Arabidopsis thaliana: one gene and its partners. The protein of the gene in region 1 interacts with the protein of each later gene in a pairwise test. Each region holds a gene or a part of one and is shown on either strand. Other genes may lie near its edges.

What was found. The genes of interacting proteins can lie anywhere in the genome.
Region 2: the proteins of AT5G09830 (region 1) and GrxC5 interact in a two-hybrid assay, tested with the Arabidopsis thaliana proteins (one study listed by BioGRID).
Region 3: the proteins of AT5G09830 (region 1) and GRX4 interact in a two-hybrid assay, tested with the Arabidopsis thaliana proteins (2 studies listed by BioGRID).

What each region holds. Positions count from the first base shown.
Region 1 is NC_003076.8:3,057,103-3,062,861, reverse strand, and holds AT5G09830 (BolA-like family protein), read left to right. Parts: upstream 1-4,036; 5' UTR 4,037-4,092; coding exon 4,093-4,152; intron 4,153-4,736; coding exon 4,737-4,759; intron 4,760-4,847; coding exon 4,848-5,046; 3' UTR 5,047-5,259; downstream 5,260-5,759. Other genes in the region: AT5G09840 (Putative endonuclease or glycosyl hydrolase), read right to left, coding at 892-1,780, 1,950-3,835; AT5G09820 (Plastid-lipid associated protein PAP / fibrillin family protein), read left to right, coding at 5,482-5,759. UniProt on the Arabidopsis thaliana protein: May act either alone or in interaction with glutaredoxin as a redox-regulated transcriptional regulator, or as a factor regulating Fe-S cluster biogenesis. The GRXS17-BOLA2 heterodimer binds a labile, oxygen sensitive iron-sulfur cluster.
Region 2 is NC_003075.7:14,197,377-14,203,754, reverse strand, and holds GrxC5 (Glutaredoxin family protein), read right to left. Parts: upstream 4,713-6,378; 5' UTR 4,582-4,712; coding exon 4,310-4,581; intron 4,136-4,309; coding exon 4,062-4,135; intron 3,514-4,061; coding exon 3,439-3,513; coding exon of another isoform or gene 3,431-3,438; exon of another isoform or gene 3,268-3,430; coding exon 3,241-3,267; intron 3,120-3,240; coding exon 3,043-3,119; 3' UTR 2,852-3,042; downstream 1-2,851. Other genes in the region: PSAE-1 (Photosystem I reaction centre subunit IV / PsaE protein), read left to right, coding at 1-124, 530-595, 697-804; AT4G28740 (LOW PSII ACCUMULATION-like protein), read right to left, coding at 1,213-1,351, 1,498-1,548, 1,633-2,211, 2,430-2,704. UniProt on the Arabidopsis thaliana protein: Has a glutathione-disulfide oxidoreductase activity in the presence of NADPH and glutathione reductase. Reduces low molecular weight disulfides and proteins. Can assemble a [2Fe-2S] cluster, but cannot transfer it to an apoferredoxin.
Region 3 is NC_003074.8:5,304,843-5,311,354, forward strand, and holds GRX4 (glutaredoxin 4), read right to left. Parts: upstream 4,783-6,512; 5' UTR 4,542-4,782; coding exon 4,470-4,541; intron 4,193-4,469; coding exon 4,052-4,192; intron 3,966-4,051; coding exon 3,866-3,965; intron 3,754-3,865; coding exon 3,687-3,753; intron 3,513-3,686; coding exon 3,434-3,512; intron 3,343-3,433; coding exon 3,292-3,342; 3' UTR 2,923-3,291; downstream 1-2,922. Other genes in the region: AT3G15650 (alpha/beta-Hydrolases superfamily protein), read left to right, coding at 1,164-1,194, 1,307-1,418, 1,682-1,775, 1,871-1,940, 2,029-2,133, 2,243-2,393, 2,476-2,558, 2,657-2,750 and 1 more; AT3G15670 (Late embryogenesis abundant protein (LEA) family protein), read right to left, coding at 5,299-5,922, 6,006-6,059.

The DNA.
Region 1 (5,759 bases):
GAAGGAGACGCATTTTTTTATAATCTTTTTGACCGAATCATTGTGGATACGCATGAGCTGTTTTGTTTAATTATTGTATTAAAATATGTATACATAGCCTTTAATGGTAATTAATATTGGTATATTTTAAGGGAACAAGACAAGATTAGGCTTAAATAATAAGATCAATTTTCTTTTCTTTATCCATTTCTTAAGTACTTTTATTGGTGTGTGTTTTTAATCGAGTGTCCATTGAGAAGACTCAAGTGACAAAGATGATTCACCAAGCAACTCCACATGTATGTCACAACATTTCATTAAATACTTTTCTCTTACTCCTATTTAATAATTACTCCTTAGATACATCTTTCTGACAACAATTATAAACTTTTTTAGAATTACTAAAATGAAACTACTGGCACAAATTGAAACCCCCGAAATTTTCATTTTTTATTTATAAAAAAAACTGTATAAACATTATGGTCAACAATAAATTATATACCAAATCTAGTTTTGGTTTGTTAACTATTTAATACCTAACTTATAACCAAAAAGCATGTCATTATCACTTTTAAACTCTTCATTTAATCTAATCGAATAAAATGTTTAAATAACTCCATCTTTTATGGAGTACATTTTATTTTTCTATTTCTATTCATTCATTCCGTGCTTTACACATCAACGTTGAAATTAAGAACCAAAATTTAATTTAAAAAATCACGTAATACAGTAAAACCTATCAATAAATGCATACGATGCGACTTGCCACTGAAAAGAGTTTGAACCATATTAATCTTATTTCTCCTTAACCGGATTCGGTTTACCATAGACCAAACCCAAAACCGGCTTCAACTAATTACACTCAATTCCTCGGGAGATTGTTAATTAAACAGTAAACAACCCTCTGACTCACTAGACTTCTGAATCTTTCACAAAAGAATACGTCTTTGTAGGCTTTTGCTTTCTACCGTTGCTTACAAGCTTCCTCTCCACCGGATTCTCCTTCAATTCTCCATCTTTATTTGTGTAATAAGAATCCAGAATTTGCAATAACGAGCTCTCTTTACCTTCTTTACTCATCATCTGTTGCTTCTTCTTCTCTGGGTTATCTCTCTCTGAACCAGAATCTTCTTCATCCTCTGAGAGTGATGGTTCATATACTGGAAGCTTTTTGGTCGTCGGGTGGGTAGTTGTTGTATCAGAAACTGGACCAAGTTCTGCGAATGCCAAGTCCGAATCATCTTCTTTTGACTTGGCATTTGGTGAAGGAGTTGAAGGAAAGATGTATCCAGATGCTATTCTCACTCCATGCATGACTCGAATCAGAGACTGCAGGTTGTCGTAACCGAGCTTGTCAACCGCTAAATGGTACCCATACTCCTCTAAGAAGTCTTTCCTGAAACGAATCAGGCTATACCCTTCAGGGTGTTCCTCTGTTATCTTCTTTATCATCTTCTGACAATCCGCTATTGCATTACTTTTGTATCTTTCCAGCTCTTTCCGGTCCACAGAACCAACAGAAACTCCAGCATGAGCAACGTTCTTGCCGCTTTTCTCACCATTTTGTTTCTGCCACTGTGATTTTGAAGAATCCGAGAAGATTGAGCTCAAACCGTTTGAAGCATGACGGTGGCCAGGGCTAGATCCTTTGATGATTCTGAATGGTAAAGAAGAAGATGGGGTTTCTTCAATCCATTTCTTTTCTGATATTAGCAAAGTAACTAAATGAAGCATGCTTGATTCATCGAGCAGTCTGAGACACGAAGGCCCTTCCTCCTGCACATTTTTAGCCATCACCTCCCTGACCAGGTTAAGACGGAACAGCATTAGCTGAATACTCGTCCCAAAAAAGACAACAAATGGCTAATGCAAGAACCAATTGTAATAGTTCTGAACCTAAGATAGATTTACATATTAATCAATATCTAATCAAAGTCCTGCCAAATCAGGAGGGAAGAGAATGTACGCACCTTGTCCTCGAGTGAGATACTATAGCAAAGCCTCTTGGAGAATTAATGAAAGATTCAATATCACTCCAAAAATACTCTTTTGCAAATATGTCTTGTACTTGAGAATCAACATTGACAAGCTCCTGATTCCCACTAGAGTCTTTGCTAGACTTTGTATTCTTTCCCCAGAACTTGAAACTCTTCAAAAGGCGACCTAAAAAGCCTGGACTTGCATCTTTATCTTTACTGTCTACGTCATCAGCTCCAACTTTTACCTCATCGACCGACTCAGCAACGAAAGAAGGTGAGATTTGAGACATGGGCACAGTTCCCTGACTCGATGACTTTAAGTCCTTATCCTCTTTATGTTTGTTTCCACTTCCCTGACTTGATGACTTTAAGTCATTATCCTCTCTATGTGTGTCTCCACTTCCAGAAACGCTCTTCATTTCTGGGAGATGCTCTAATTCCATCTCAGGTGAACCATACCACAGTCTTTTTAGCTTTTGAAAAAAGCCATCTTCCATGGACGAATCACTCCACGCAACAAGAGCGACTTGATTCGTCTCGACGGGTTTAACATTTGCCTTAACATCCTTCTGGCCGACCAGAATTGGGTCTTGAGAACTCTCTGATGATTCTTCTTTAACAATTTTATCACTCTCCAATACCTTTTCCTGCTTCTTTCCAAGTAAGCCATCTCTTCTTCTTTCAGCAGCAAGCTCTACATCGCTAATTAGCTTTGGTGATGGAGCATTAACAGTTTCCTTATCTTTAATCTTCTGATCAACAGCAGTAGACAAACGAGGACTAGAATCAAGCCGCATCGGAGGCTTCTTTTCGGTAACAGCCCGAATCATAAACAAGCCTTCACTTACTGTAGTAACCTGTAAGATATCTGGCATGGATAAAAGAAACTTCGAAAACTTCTTATGTCCATAGAAATCTTTATCAATAGCCAAGTTGCTCTTACTCAGCTCAGCACGTAGTTCTGTAATGGCAGCCCCCTTGGGATATAAACTCACTATCGAACGAATCTTATCAACAACTTCTTTTGGAATAGGACGAAGGTTAACAACAGCATTCGAATTCACAGACTCGGATAGTTCTTCGATTTTCACACTAGACGAAGATTGCTCAGTAGTGGTAGCAATAGCAAATGGATCAAGAAGAGGAATCCTATAGTGACCATACCAAGAGTTATAAGGACCATCAGGAGGCTGATTAAAATGCTTACCAGTAACACACTCTCCTTTAATCAAAGCATCCCAATCCCACATAATAGAAGCAGCACTACACAAAACACCAGGAGCTGATGATTTACTCGCAAGCAAAATGTTGTAATTGTTCATCCTCAATCTATGTAACACACTTGCAAACTCCTTATCACTAGAGATTAGCAAAAGATGAGCTGGTGGTGGATTCTGAGAAACCCAACACATAAGATCTGTGATTAGAGATCTATCAGCACTGTTCTTACCACCGTTAGGAACATGAGTGAGACTGATTCCTGTAGCGGAGAGAGCGTCTTGGTTTGATCTGGGGAGCTGTAAAACGTCACCGAAGGCTGTGATTGTGATTGGTCCTTTGATTCCGCTGTTTCTGATAGCGGCGGTGATTGATTGTGCTACTTTGTAGACATTGGTGTCTACAGGTAAGTTACAGCTCAGGAAGTCCCACCAGACCGAAACCCTAACGGATCGGGACTCTTCGTCTTGCTGAGGACGTCGAGAGGGAGAATGGCTGGATCCGGAGACGAAATTGGAGCCGGAGGTGGTTGTGGTGGAGAATGGAGAGGAATGAATGTTAGTGATGAAAAGGGTAATTGTTCGACGGTGAGATTGGGTTGTGGAGGAAGAAGAGAGGCGGAAGAGAAGGGATTTGGATGGTAAAGATCCAAACTTCATGGTCGGAGAGCTATTTTTGCTCCGGGAAATGGAGAGACTGAGAGGGTTTTAGGAGTGAGGAAGACGAAGTAAAGGAAAGCAGAGCTTAAACCCTAGTTATTATTTTGGAATTGTCGATAACCGAATGGTATCCCAATTGAACCAAACTAAACCGTACTCTCGCTAAACCAAAACCAAATAGCGTATGGTTTAATATTCTAATTCAATGAGTACAGTAATTAGGGATTTCAATTTTTGTTTGAGAGAGAGAGAGAGAGATGGTGACGAAGGAGCAAGTCGAAGCTTCATTGACTTCGAAACTTAAGCCAATTCATCTCGTGAGTGTTCTTATACTGCTTTCTTCTTTCAATTTCATCTATTGATTAGGGTTTGAAACTTTTGTGGGAAACTTTGAAACCCTAATCATCAAATTGATCTGGGAAAATTGCCAAATTTGAGATTTTTGACCTGCTCACTTTGATCAAAATCATACACTTTGATAGTTGGATCATAAGAGGTACTATGTATTGTAATAATCTCAGCATCTAGATTATACATCACTATGTGTTGTCTTTCAGCTCTGAAACAGAATATAAAAGGTGGTTGTTTGCGTAGTTAGGTGTAATTTGATGCAGTGTGATACTGAGCTCAGGATTTGATGACGTAGTGTTCCTGATGTATTAGCAACTTAGTAGTGAGTGTTCTTGTCGGAAAATTTTATTTGTGTCATGGTTTTTTGTGAACTAGAACTCAAAAAGCAGATCCAAGGATGTGTATAGTTTCTTTGCTTTATAACATGTGAAGATTGAAGTTACTTCAATGTCAATCTATTTCCCTTTTCACTTGATTCATGTGTTCCAATTGTTTCAATCTTTAGCTTTTAGAATTTTTTAGTGACATTGTTTGTTTTTGTGTGTACCAGGAAGTCATTGACATATCTGGAGGGTAAGTACCGGATTGTCAATACACATTTGATTCTCTGGCTTATGGCATAATTTCTTGTTCTTAATATCAGCAAAACTGTTTATTGCAGTTGTGGTTCGAGTTTTGAAGTGGAGGTTGTCTCTGAACAATTCGAAGGGAAGAGATTGCTGGAGAGGCATCGTATGGTGAATGCTGCGCTAGAAGAAGAAATGAAAGAGATTCATGCTCTCTCTATTAAGAAAGCTCAGACTCCACAACAATGGAAGCCACCATCACAAGACTCTGCAACCTTAACCAAAGATGCCTGAATTTCTGTTTTTTAAAAGCCTTGTGACAAAGAACAGAGCATTTACTATGTTGATACTTTGTGGTTACTGTACTCCGATTACTGCTTTTGATGAAGTGTAAACACTTTTTTAAAACATATGCAATTGGTTGCAAAATATAACAAAAATTGGGTTTTTCTCAATTTAGATGGAGATTTTTTTGAGAATTTTACCATGACACCATCTTAAAAAAGAAAAAAAAGACCAATGGGATTGGCTAAATTTTATAATAGAGTCAGTGCAGTGTATGGTGGGGGGGAGAGATAGATGCTAAAAGATGGATAAAATAACCAAAAAAAACTGTCCATTCTCCTCCCCATAAATCTATCTCTCTCTCTTTTTCCTCAAATCCCATCTTCTTCTTCTACTTCTTATTAAGCTCCATTGGGTTTAGAGATTCTGGTGTATAAACTGCTAATGACGAGTAACCTTTTCCAGCCACCATCAATGGCAGCTTCACGAGGAGCAATCTCGAGAAGAACAGGAAACGTGAAAGTATTAGTCTCTTTCACCAGTTCTAATGGCAAAACGCTGAGTTTTAGTGACAACTCATTTAGGCTCAGACCCATGTTCATCGGGAAAGTCACAGAACAGAGTTCTTGTTCCTCCCCAAATGAACAACAACAAGATGAAGAACAAGAACAAGAACAAGAAGAGATTACAGTTTCTCATATAAAAGAAGAGCTCTACGAAGC
Region 2 (6,378 bases), on another chromosome or scaffold:
AGCCGAAGATCCTGCTCCGGCTTCCTCTTCTTCAAAAGATTCTCCGGCAGCTGCCGCTGCTCCGGATGGAGCTACTGCCACCAAACCCAAGCCACCACCGATTGGTCCTAAGAGAGGGTCTAAGGTCAGCTAACCTAAACCGTCTTAAATTCCATTAGCTTGTATATATATACGCATAAGCCAAAGTTACTTATCGATGGATGCATTCATGTATATGAGCAAATTTTATTTGAGTTCTTATTGGTAAATCTGCAGAATGGTGAAATGACAAAATGAATCTGCCAATTACACAACGTAACTAGCTAGCTAGTAGGAATCGTTAATTGTGAACTTGTAATTTTTGTTCATAATCAGTTAATCGCTATGCAAAAATTGTATAATTAGTGACAAAAAATTAAATTTCACCACATCTTATGTTCATAACATGGTTCAAATCTAATTGCATGTTTATGTGTGTGTGACTTGTAACCACATATTTTGTTCATAATCAATCGTTTCTTATCTTGATATAAATTGTTGGGATTCGTAGGTCAAGATTCTAAGGAGAGAATCCTATTGGTTCAAGAACGTTGGATCAGTTGTTGCCGTTGATCAGGTAACGCATTTAGTCTCCAATCAACGATCTAACGGTCGTATGAATATCTTTCACCATGCCGGTTTTGTTTAGTTTCTTGACCAGGGTTATAAATTGTGCAGGACCCTAAGACTCGATACCCGGTTGTGGTCCGGTTCGCAAAAGTCAATTACGCCAACATATCGACCAACAACTATGCATTGGATGAGGTCGAAGAAGTTGCAGCTTAAATGGGAGAATTCAAAAACTCTGTGTATTCTATACCGGTTTATCCGTTTGTAACTTGACCCAAACCGTATGTACCGCAAAAGTTTACCAATTATTTCTCCTCATCTGAATCTCGAGCCGGTTTTCTTATTCTTTCACAGAATGTGTTTGGAAAATTCAGTTAAAAGTCTCTTTCTACTCATGGTTAGCTCTCTTAACCGTCTTCATATTCATTCTGAAACCGGTACAATTTCCCTTGGTAAACACCTTAAAAACTAAACACAAACACTTTGCTTCTGAATTCATTCATTCGGACTAACCACGAAGTGAAAATAATAATTTTGAAGTCAAAATCTTTTCATAACTATACATTTTATAAAATTTATAGGAGACTAAAAAACATATGACTTTATCCCTAAGTATTAGAGTATTTACACTCTACCATCCATACCGTCAAGAAGACCGGTCCACATTCCCTTAACCGGAGGAAGCTGTGCAACGAAGGCTTGCCATGGAGGATAACCCACTCCACTTGCCCTTACACGCCCATCCAAACGCAGAGACAAATACCTAATATCAACAACAATTCCGTATCACCGATTGCAAAACGCGGTTTAAATCGATTGTCTTTACGCAAAAACACTCATATTCAGCTCAAGAACCGGTGCAATATTCAGTTTAAACCGGTTTCAGAGCAAATGCAAAGAACTACTTACACTGGAGAGTCTGAGGAAACATTGGCAAGCTTCTTCTGCTCATTTAACCACCTGTTCACGCAACAAAAAATATGAACACTCTCAAATTCGATTTTTTCAACTCGGGTTTCACTATCTTTAAGGAAAGATTCTTACTTTTCCCATTCCGGGACAAAAACCGGAGTCACCCGCCACAGTTTCTTCCTTCTCTGGCTCATTTCTTCATCCGCAATGTCAGTTTCATCAAACTCCAAAACCGGTGAATTCCCATCCGTAGCATAAGCCACCACAACCACACCTCTCTCCACGAGCCCTTGTGTATACTCTTTACTTCTCTTAAACGCTTCTTCAATAAACTCCGCAGGACCAGCACAGATCACAAGCCTAGCAACCCCTCTCAGATCACCTACGGAGATTACCTTATTGTTCTCTTCGACTCTCATTTTGAGTTTGCCAAGATTCTCTTCCCTCGAGAGCCTAGCCATTTGCGCGTTCTTGGTCTTGTTTTCGTTGAAGTATAGGAACGCAAAGAGAGAAGCAGCACCAATGTCAACTCCCAAACCCTTAACGATCTCAAGAACTTCACCTGATCTAGCCGGATTCGCCAGGGCACCTATGAGCCTAGAAGTGGCTATTAGTCCTCCTAATGAACCGCTTGCTATAAAGGCGAGGTAGAAGAACATACGGACTGATCTGAACGGAGACAGAACCTCACTACGGATTCTAGCATCAGCACTGAAACCATAAACAGAGATAACTTAGCTGTGACATTACACAAGGTGTGAGATAACATTCTTGCATTCAAAGTTTTAACCTTTCATCATGTCAATGAGCATAAACCTACCAAGTACTAAAATTGATTCAACAACGACACAGATAGAACCTAAACCATAATTCATTCAAATCTAAAGACGAACCCCAATTTAATAAGGTTAGAAGAAGTCGAAGTTTACCTGATTTCGGAGGGCTCGTCTGCGGCAAAACACACGGTGTTGAAAGACAAAGGTTGCTGCTTTCTAGTTATTGTCAATCTATGGTTTCTATGAGAAAAATCGAGTCTTTCTCTGTGATTATGACGGGAAATTCTACGATGAGAGTATGATTCTTTTGCCTGATAAAGAGCTTGTTTACTAATATGACAATGGTAGATGTAAGTTTGAGACGAGACCAGAGTAGCCATTGGTCTCGCTAGATTCTCTGCAACTTCCCCTGTTTCAGAAGATGACATCTCTTTTCAGTTTGGGATCATTTTTCACTCTATTGACCTGTGATCCTAAACTTGCCACGCTTCTCTCTGATTTTGGATTTTCTAGAATATATATTAGGCCACTTTTTTCCTTCTTTATTTATCAGCCTGGGATTGGTAATATTTGGATTACTCTGAAGGCTTGAAAACTGTGAATTCAAGTGGTGAAAAACAAAGAGAGATCAACAATTACATGATATGTATATGTTATTTATTAACTATAATTATTGTATTCAAATGAGGTACAATGATAATAACAAAAATGAGAAAACTTTCCAAGCTCCGTATGCAAAAATCTCCGAACCAGTTTCAACATCTCCTCAACTCTGACCGTTTTTACCGTTGGCTTCAGCTAACATCAGTTCCAGATCTCCTTTCCTGTTAAGCTTCACTGTATCTGTAGCACAAGAACAAGAAGATAATGCCAATAGTTGAGTGAAACAATATCCAAAACTGAGGCATCTCACATTTGAGAAGTAGAAGAAACCAAAGAGGTGAGAAGAGAAGGAGGAAAGTACCTGTGCAGCCACCAATGTGCTTGCCACCTGCTCATTAGGACAAAGATTAGACACTGTTATGACTAGCTATTAACTGAAACTATGTTGTTCACTTCTTTGGGACATCTAAAGGTTTCATCTTTTGAAGCAGGTAGGATATATAAGGAAAACAGAGTTTCAATGAAGATATGATCGATGTAAACGGATTAAACTACTTACATACGAAAACATTAGGAACAGTGTGTTGCCCAGTAAGTCTTTCCAGTACCTTCTGCAGTTGTGGCCCTTGTGGACCTGAAATTAACCAAACATAGTTTAGTCAAACAGAACTTTAGATAGAACATAACAAATCATTCTTTGTTGTCCAAAATCACCAAACATTTTGACAATTGCATCTTCAACTGTTCTCAAAGAGAGAGACACATTTACTTTTATGATATATACAAGTATGGACTAGTGAGAAACAAAAGCAGGTTACAACAAATATCAAAGGCAAACAAGAATCCCCAAAATGTACATTTTCAACCCAATGGTCCAGAAAGAAAAGTTAAAGATAAACATGTAAACTCATTCGAATCTGAAAAACTAAATCACTCAGAAGGTAAACAAGACTTGCATTCTTTCAACGAGTCTAAATGCCACAACATAAACTAGAATAGTAATATGCATATGTAACCAAAATCTAAAGGTTAAAGGCAATACTAATGGATACTTTTAAAAACTAACAAGCATTACCTCATCATCTATCTAAAGCCATGATATAGTATTATCATGATCAAATCAATTACTCAAGCTAAGCTATGGAAAAAAAAGATAGAAATGTTAAGGAAATGCAAACATACCAAGTTGATCCAATTCAACAACCAGTGGCTGAACCCCAAGTCTCTTGAACAATGTCTTCACTTCAGTACAGTATCTTCAATACACACCAAACACCAACAAATTATCAACAGAAACATTAAGATCTGAATAACAGTAAAAACGAAAATTTACAAGGATATTTGATAAACCCATTCTCCAATTAAGCAAAAAGAAAGAAATAAAACAAATCCTAATTAAAACTGATAACGAAAGAGAGTAGTGAACATACGAGCACCAAGTTTTGGAGTAAATAACGACAGTGTTCTCAGTCACTGTTTTCCTAATACTCTCTTCCATTCTCGATCCAAAGGACGAAGAAGAAGACGATGCAGCCGAAGAAGAAGAAGTCATAGCTCGAACAGAACATGACTGCTTTAGACATCTCTTGTAAGGAGATCCGACATATATCAGAGAGAAGGAATAAGAAGAACAAGAGACTGAAGGAATCGGATCTAGAGACGACGATACAAGTTTCAATGTGTTAAATGCTGTGACTGCCATGGCGATTTCTGCGACAGATTCTTGGAGCTTCTTCTTCTTCTTCTTCTTTGCGTGCTATGCTAATTTGTCTCGTGACGTGACTTGTCCTCTTTTCCCATTTTTCTTTTATTAAATTAAAAAGCTAAATTTTCGTGACCAACAAAAAAAATCTGAATTTTTGTTATTCTAATACTTAATGGGCCTATACTATTACTAATGGGCGTTTTCTTCTCTGAAAAGTATTCGTGGTTCTGGGCCTAATAGGCTTTATAAGACTTGAAAACAAATCATATCTCACTCATCATGATATCATACAAGATGAGATGAAAGATGAATTATTTTGAAGAAACATGTTACGAATCTCACATAAGAAATATCATGAAATTAATAATAATAACTAAGTAACATAAGTCAAGCCATTCATTTCAATTGATTTTGAATTGAAAGCTATTAAACTTACTATAACCATTCACCAATGATATCTAAATTGCATTGGGTCTATGATTTGTTTGGCAAGTTTTGTCATTTTACACTTAAAGGCCATATAACAAAATTCGTGAGAAATTTATGATATCGAAAACAACTCATCCATGGACCTACGTTTGATAAGATCATGTGGGGACTTTTGACTAGTTGTAACGTCATGGGTTCGAATTATTTCATTGTTTCTCCAATTTGTTTTTGTCCATATCCCACCAACATTTTCTTCATTCATTTATAAGCCCAAATCTTTGTTGCATTGACATACATAAATATATGCACACATACATGTATTAAATATTATATACATGCACCACACAAAACATAACTCATTTTAATTATAAACAATTATATTATAAAACTGACTAAAAGAATTGGCAAGTACTCTCATTTGTACAAGTTCCTAGTGTTGTCTGTGTCCATCCATGCGTGTATGAGTAAATACTAACGATTGGTACAAATCAAACACTTAAGAAAATTCAGATATTCGTATCCAATCTGTATCCGAGCGAATGATCTAAATATCTATTTCTTTTTAATTATTTTAGGCATTTACATATGTGGAATTTCGGAATTCTTCTACACAACTCAAAAATAATGTATTAAGCTAGCTAGTTAAGGTTTGTATTTGCTTACAAAATCTAATGATAAGAAAAAATATTGTGTAAGAAATTTTACACAGAAATATCAAATTTCTAAATACTAGAAACATTATAAATATTATACATAATCAGAATGAATCTCTAGCCGGATTGGAACTAAAATGCCCATACTATATATATATATGTGTGTGTGGGGTTGCAGGTACATAAAAAGGGATATAGAGATATGGGTACAGTAGTGTTCCATTCGAAACTTTACCATCCCAATGATTAAATCCAGTACATTCGAATTATTTTTTCTTTACGTACATATTTGAGTATATATAAGAACTAAAACTTGATAAACTATAAACAAATTACATTAAAGAAAAAAAAAACTTGATGAGCTTGTATAGTTAGTTACTTGATAGAGAAGTACTAGTTCCTACTTTTATAACATACATTGTCTATTATTTATTTGATTACGTATCTATCCTAAACTTTGGACTTGGAAAATTGACTTATACGTAAATGAAATCTTTGAAAATTGTTTGTGGTAAATACAAGTGTTTGTTGGTTTCTTCTTTCTTGTGTTTAGTGTAGAGGAATATATTTTTTTTCTTTTCACGAGAGGTAGTTCATCTAACAGACATAGGCATGTGAAAGGAACAAACCCTAGTTTTTGCAGACTTTGGTAATGTGTAAGATGAACAATGTGGACCCTTGAACATGAGTGATTTCTCCACTGCAGAATTTG
Region 3 (6,512 bases), on another chromosome or scaffold:
TTCGTTGTTCAGTGTTCACTTGATATTCGTCTCTTTATTTCTATAATTTGAACACAACAACTACATTAATGCAAAATAGTAGACTAGATGATCTGGTCAAATAATTTCATGCAAATTTACATCTTATCAGATGCTTTAAAACATACTCTAATAATCGCAGTACATTTTTTTAAAATCTATATACCATGAAGAAAATGAGAAATAGGTGAAATAAGTGGGCTTGATATCGTCAGCCAATTTTGCTGGACAAAAAGCAACAGTGGCAAACAAGAGAGGGCAGAGTAATGAAAGAAGCGTTGAAAGGAGATAGAGAAAAGATCAAAGTCTTTTTTGGTTTATTGCTGCATGCTCCACATGAAAATCCAGCTTGGTCACTTATGTTTCTTACGCATCATCATTACACTCAGTGCTCTCAGATTTCTCAAATCCAAGAACCCTAAAATAAAATATGTAATTCCTTTTCCTTTGTACATTGTGTAATGCAAATTTTTAAATCTTTTATTTTTTCTCGTAAAGTTTCAGACTTTTTAAGCTTTCTGGTTAATGGGTATCCATCAATCATCTCACTTTTGTTTTTCATATATATTTCATTAAACAAATGATTGAACAAGTAGATTTTTTCTTTCTTTTTCAATTTTGGATTATGCCCTCATGTTTCTTGTAATATATATACATACTTGTGTTATGCTATAATATATTCTTTTACGCGGTAGAGTTTTTATTTTCCTCCACTGCCACAAGGCATTGATTCTCTCTTTCTCTCTCTCTCCTCTGTGTAGTTTTGCCGCTAGCTCTGCTCTGGTTTTGATTTTGATTCCTTGTGTTCCCAAAAAGATTTATTTCTTTTGTTTTTATAACGAGAAAAAGAGAAGAAAATTGATTGTCTCTTTCCATGGATGCCTTCTCTTAGACTACGACTAGTATAGTTTTTTTTTTTGTGTAGCTGTTGTACACATTTAACATCCCATAGTGAATGATTCAGATTCACATTTCTTTTCTTTTATTCCTTCCTCTCACCATCACACCTCCAAATTTGCTCTATAAATACACATTTCCCCTCCCTTACCTTCTCTTATATTTTCCATTGGTATTTCAAACTTTTAACTACTATATCACAACAAAGTCTCTAAATTGTGGTGAAAAAAGATCATTGAACAACAACAATGAGCTATTCTCGTCAAAGCATGGGTTCTGGTTTGTTTCTCACTTACTTGTTTGGTTCATGTTAGTATTATCTTAAGTGTGTCACTTGTGTGCTTATGTGATTACTCTGCTTTATATATGTTTCTGGCAAAATCTTTTGTAGGTAGTAGAAGTACAAGGGGCTATGAGTTTGGAAGGACTTATGTTGTGAGGCCTAAAGGAAAGCACCAAGCTACTATTGTTTGGTTGCACGGTCTTGGAGACAATGGCTCCAGGTATTATAATACTATCTCACTTGCCTTGTTTTTATGAACAAAATCAAGTAATAAAGAAAGTTTTATGCTTTGAAAGCTTAAAGTCATACTTGTCAAAACAATGCCTAAATGACTTTAATAGATATCAAAACAAACTCTTCTTAGGACAAAACTTAACACTTTTCCTCTGTTAGTTGAACAGTTTCAAGTATAAATGTGTTATGAAAAGCTTTAACTTTTTGGTTTAATTGACTACTACAAATAAAATGAGCTTTAGAAAGTAGAATTTTGGCGTGTTCTTTGATAACAACTTCTCACTTTGGCTCTGTTTCTTTCTGCAGCTCGTCTCAGCTATTGGAAAGCCTACCTCTTCCAAACGTAAGGATCCATGGAAACAAACTTGGAAGTAATTTTTTGTATCACTAAATATTCTTAGTGAAGGTTCTGATAAAAGATATATGGTATTCTGTCAGATCAAATGGATTTGTCCAACTGCTCCTTCGCGTCCTGTTTCGCTTCTCGGTGGATTTCCTTGCACTGCCTGTAAGATCATTCAGTTAGCTTCTCTAGACTTCATCAAAACATTATTTTAAGCGTTTGCCAATAAAACCAATTTCTTTGCTCCTCTCAGGGTTTGACGTGGGAGAAATTTCTGAGGATCTTCATGATGATATAGAAGGCTTAGATGCTTCAGCTGCACATATTGCTAACCTATTATCTGCTGAGCCAACAGATGGTAAGCCAACCATGAGTTATATATATCTTCATTCCTTTGTCACAGGTCTTGATATAATATATCATAATCTCTAGCTTAACTTGAAAATGTTATTTGTGGTTTGTGTCAGTCAAAGTTGGGATAGGAGGTTTCAGTATGGGTGCAGCAATAGCTCTCTACTCCACGACGTGCTACGCTCTTGGACGTTATGGAACCGGACATGCTTATACTATAAACCTACGAGCTACTGTAGGACTTAGCGGTTGGCTTCCTGGTTGGAGGTATAAATATATGTCTTCAACCCTTTCTTGTCACTTGTTAACACAGAGACTTAACATTGAAAGCTTAAACATAACAATGCAGGAGCTTAAGGAGCAAAATAGAAAGTTCGAATGAGGTTGCAAGGCGCGCTGCATCGATACCGATCTTACTTGCACATGGAACTTGTATGTTTACATATATCATTATATGATTTACTGTTTCAAGATAAAATCACCGAAGAGAATCTAGAATTTTATTCACTTTATGTGTTTTTTGGTTGCAGCGGACGATGTAGTTCCTTATAGATTTGGAGAAAAATCTGCTCATTCACTTGCCATGGCTGGATTCCGACAAACTATGTTCAAACCATATGAAGGGTAACTGTTCAACCTATATCCCAAAGTTATCATTATCAATCTAGTTGTTTTAGTCTGAGATTGTGAGGTTTTAATGTGATTGTGTAGGCTTGGTCACTATACGGTTCCTAAAGAAATGGATGAGGTGGTTCACTGGCTCGTCTCAAGGCTTGGTCTCGAGGGTTCGCGTTAAACTTTACAAGCATCTTCTCAGCATCTCTATAGCTATTATACGATGGTGTAGAATATTTATATTATATATATAAGGGGTGGGGGGTTTCTTGGGGTATACGGTGTTCTCTCATGTTTCTACTGTTTTGTGATTTATTCATGCTTTTCTACTGTTCGATTCTTGATTATGAATAATAAAATAAATAAATAAGGCTCGTTGGGCTTCTTTGATTTTGCTATCTTAGTTTACCAAAGTTTTTATTCATACGAAATCCAAAGATTTTTGAGTTTCTGAGACATTATTTTACCGTACATGAAAAGACATTCTTATGAAAAGAAAGAACAAAAACATAATAACTTCCACTCGTCAGCATAACTTCCAAACTTTGGATCAATCTTGGTTTCCGGAGACGTCTTTAAGCTTCTGCTCCAATTCACCTTCCTAGAATAGTAAAAGAGACTTGTGATTAAACAAACACAATGGAAACGGGGGAAAAAAAAGTCAAACAGGGTCTGCTTTAAGTGGAACTAACCTTGTGCATGTTAAGGATGATGTCTGAGCCGCCAATGAACTCTCCCTTAATGAAGATCTGTGGAAACGTAGGCCAGTGGCTGCAAAGAAATAAAGACTTGAAAATCAAAGGGAGGTCTAGATCATATAGGTCAAAGATTAAGGAATGAACGGTAACGAACTTCAATAACAAAGCCAAACTTTATGAAAAAACTTTGAGAATGAGATTATACAACTCTCTGTATGAAACTTTCATTAAGTGTCCACATACTCACCTGAAGGATTTCACAGCGTTTTTCAACTCTTGGTCTTCTAGAATGTTTCTAGAACTGATAGGAACATCTAAAGAAGGATATCACAAGATAGTAGATCAGAACACAGAGCCTAACGCCAATAGTAAAGAAAATTCACAGAAGGCTTCTTCAGTTTCAATCAACATTTCAACAAAACTTACTATATTGCTGCAAAACTCTGACGGCTAGTGAGCTAAACCCACACTGAGGAGATTCAGGGACACCTTTCATGTAGATCATAACAGGATTATCCTTCACATCCTACACAACCACCAAAGCTAAAACAGCATTAGCAAACACCTAACAAAGAAACATTCAACTTCAAATCTAGAGAAGCTGGAGTGTACATTCTCAACGATATCTTTAAGTGAGTCCGTAGAATCGGGAGGGACTTTTTGTGTAGGCTTGAAATCATCATGTGTATCTGAATCACTTGGCACTGTTGAGGAAAATCTCATCATCCCATTTTGGTAGACTGATGCAGACGTCTGCAAACAAAAACCACATCATTCTTCTCCATGTTAAATTCAACTATCAAATGATCATCAATACCATCTTCTATTGGAAACAAATTCATTTTCACATAATTCAAAACCATACGCTCACGTAACTATCTAATCCGGTTCAACTAACAAAAGAATCAGAACCTCAAATGTTATATAAAGGAGCAATTTTTAAGTGATTCAAGATGGGAAAAGAGAAAACTTTATTGAGCAAACATTAGATACATCAAAATTGAGTAAAAGGGTTATGAGAGAATCTAACCAATCTGCTAGAACGAACAGCTTTGAGATTAGCGATTCCTTTTATAAGTCTGCTCGATAAAGAAGCCGCCATCTCTAAATCACGCAGATTTCTTCAAAGTGTTCCGCGGTTTTGTTTAATCGAAATCTGTCTAGAAAACTATCAAGAACAGGAATGAGAAAAAAAGATTAGAGAGGGTAGCTACGAGGAAGAAGGACGGAGCTAGAGATCTTTACAATGTCGCGACCGCTTCTCTTCATCTCCAGTGACCGACCCAGAGAACGACGTCGTGTCATTACTCATAACCCTAAGATGTTATACGATGTCGTTTCGGATGGTCACCAAAGTATACGTCCGTTGACGTCTTGATAAATTTATTTGGTTTGCTCGGTTTAGATAAATTACTATTCAATTTTTTTGGTTTACTTCTCTCATTTTAGTAGATCTATGAAATTGAACGATTCGTAAAACGTAAAAGCAGACACAAATGTTTTATTGAAATTTTTGATAAAAGAAATTGAAAGATTAGTAAAACCCGTTTGGATTAGCAGCTATATCTGTATAATGCTAATGCTTGATGACCAACATACGAAGTGGACCATGATGTGTATTAATAACTGTTTATTGTAACAAAAATAGAAATTTGAGAACACATAAGTTGTAACAGGATCAAATCTAAACTTATTGGCTGGAAATTAGAAGTCTCCAGGATCACCGTCACAACAAGAAACACAGCTGAACCACAACCATAAAGAAAGACACAACGGAAATTACAAAAACACAAACACAAAACTCAAAAGACCAACTAACACAAAGATACTTTCATATCGTTCTCAATTTTGTTTTCTCATCACTTCCTCTGATAAGTCTGATGAGTCGGATCAGTGGTTCGAGTAGTTGCAGTAGTGGTAGTAGTACTTCCTGGATAATGCTCTTTGTCTTCTTCCTCAGTAGCCATCCCAAAAGTATGCTTCACTGCATCAGCTGCACCCATTGCCATTTGCTTAACATGCTCACCAGTCTGGCTCAAGAATCCACCCGTCTTGTCTCTACCGGCTTCAGCCGTCTCCTTTGTGTACTGTGCCGCACCTTGAGCCGTCTCCTTTGTATACTGAGCAGCGTCTTGAGCCTTGTTCTTTATGGCTTCGCCTGTCTCCGATAAGTAGCTCCCGGCCTTGTCCTTGGCCTCGCGAGCTTTGTCGCCAGCTTGAGATGTCTTTTCTTTTGCTGCTTGCGTCGTCTCATGGGCCTTTTGCTGTGCCGTTTGGGCAGTTTGAGATGTCTTCTCTTTTGCTGACTGGGCCGTTTCATGGGCCTTCTGCTGAGCCGCTTGGGCAGTTTGAGATGTCTTATCTTTAGCTGACTGGGCTGTCTCATGGGCCTTCTGTTGGGCTGTTTGGGCCGTTTGAGAAGTCTTGTCCCGGCCCTCCTCAGCCTTGTCCCTCATCGTTCCCATAGCTTGTCCAGTCTTCTCCTGGTATTACACAGACAAATCATCTTAGAGCTTATATAATGTGGTTTTACGTATACACATACACAAAAATATATTCTTATTACCTGGGCCTTGCCTCTGGTCTCACCAGCTTTGTAGCTCTGTTGGTTGGATGCCATTTCTTTCTTCAAATGTGTATCAAACGAAACTAGATAAGTTTTAAAAGCTTTTTTCGTAAAAGTATTTGTTGTTGTAGTAGAAACTGTGATTTGTCTCCCCAAACCATCGGGACATTTGTAGTGTGTCTTGGTCGGCGGAGAAGAAGACACGTATTAGCACATTGAAACGTGTATAGCTGCGTGGTGTGTTGAGGTTAAAAGAAAATTAAAAAAATAGGAGTTTAGGGGTGTTGTGCTTTACGTTGCAAGCGTTAGTATGCGGTTTCTCGGTCTTGTCCGTGTTGTCCTCTGAGGTTGCGACACCTCATGGTTAAGAGGAAGATGCTTGCTACGTGGCAACACCATAAGTATCGTCGTCGCATGTTATGAGATTGCTAATTTTCATTTTTTTATTGTATCATGGAAATCGGCCGTCGGTCGGTACATGTTCCGTGACGTATTAACTATCAACTA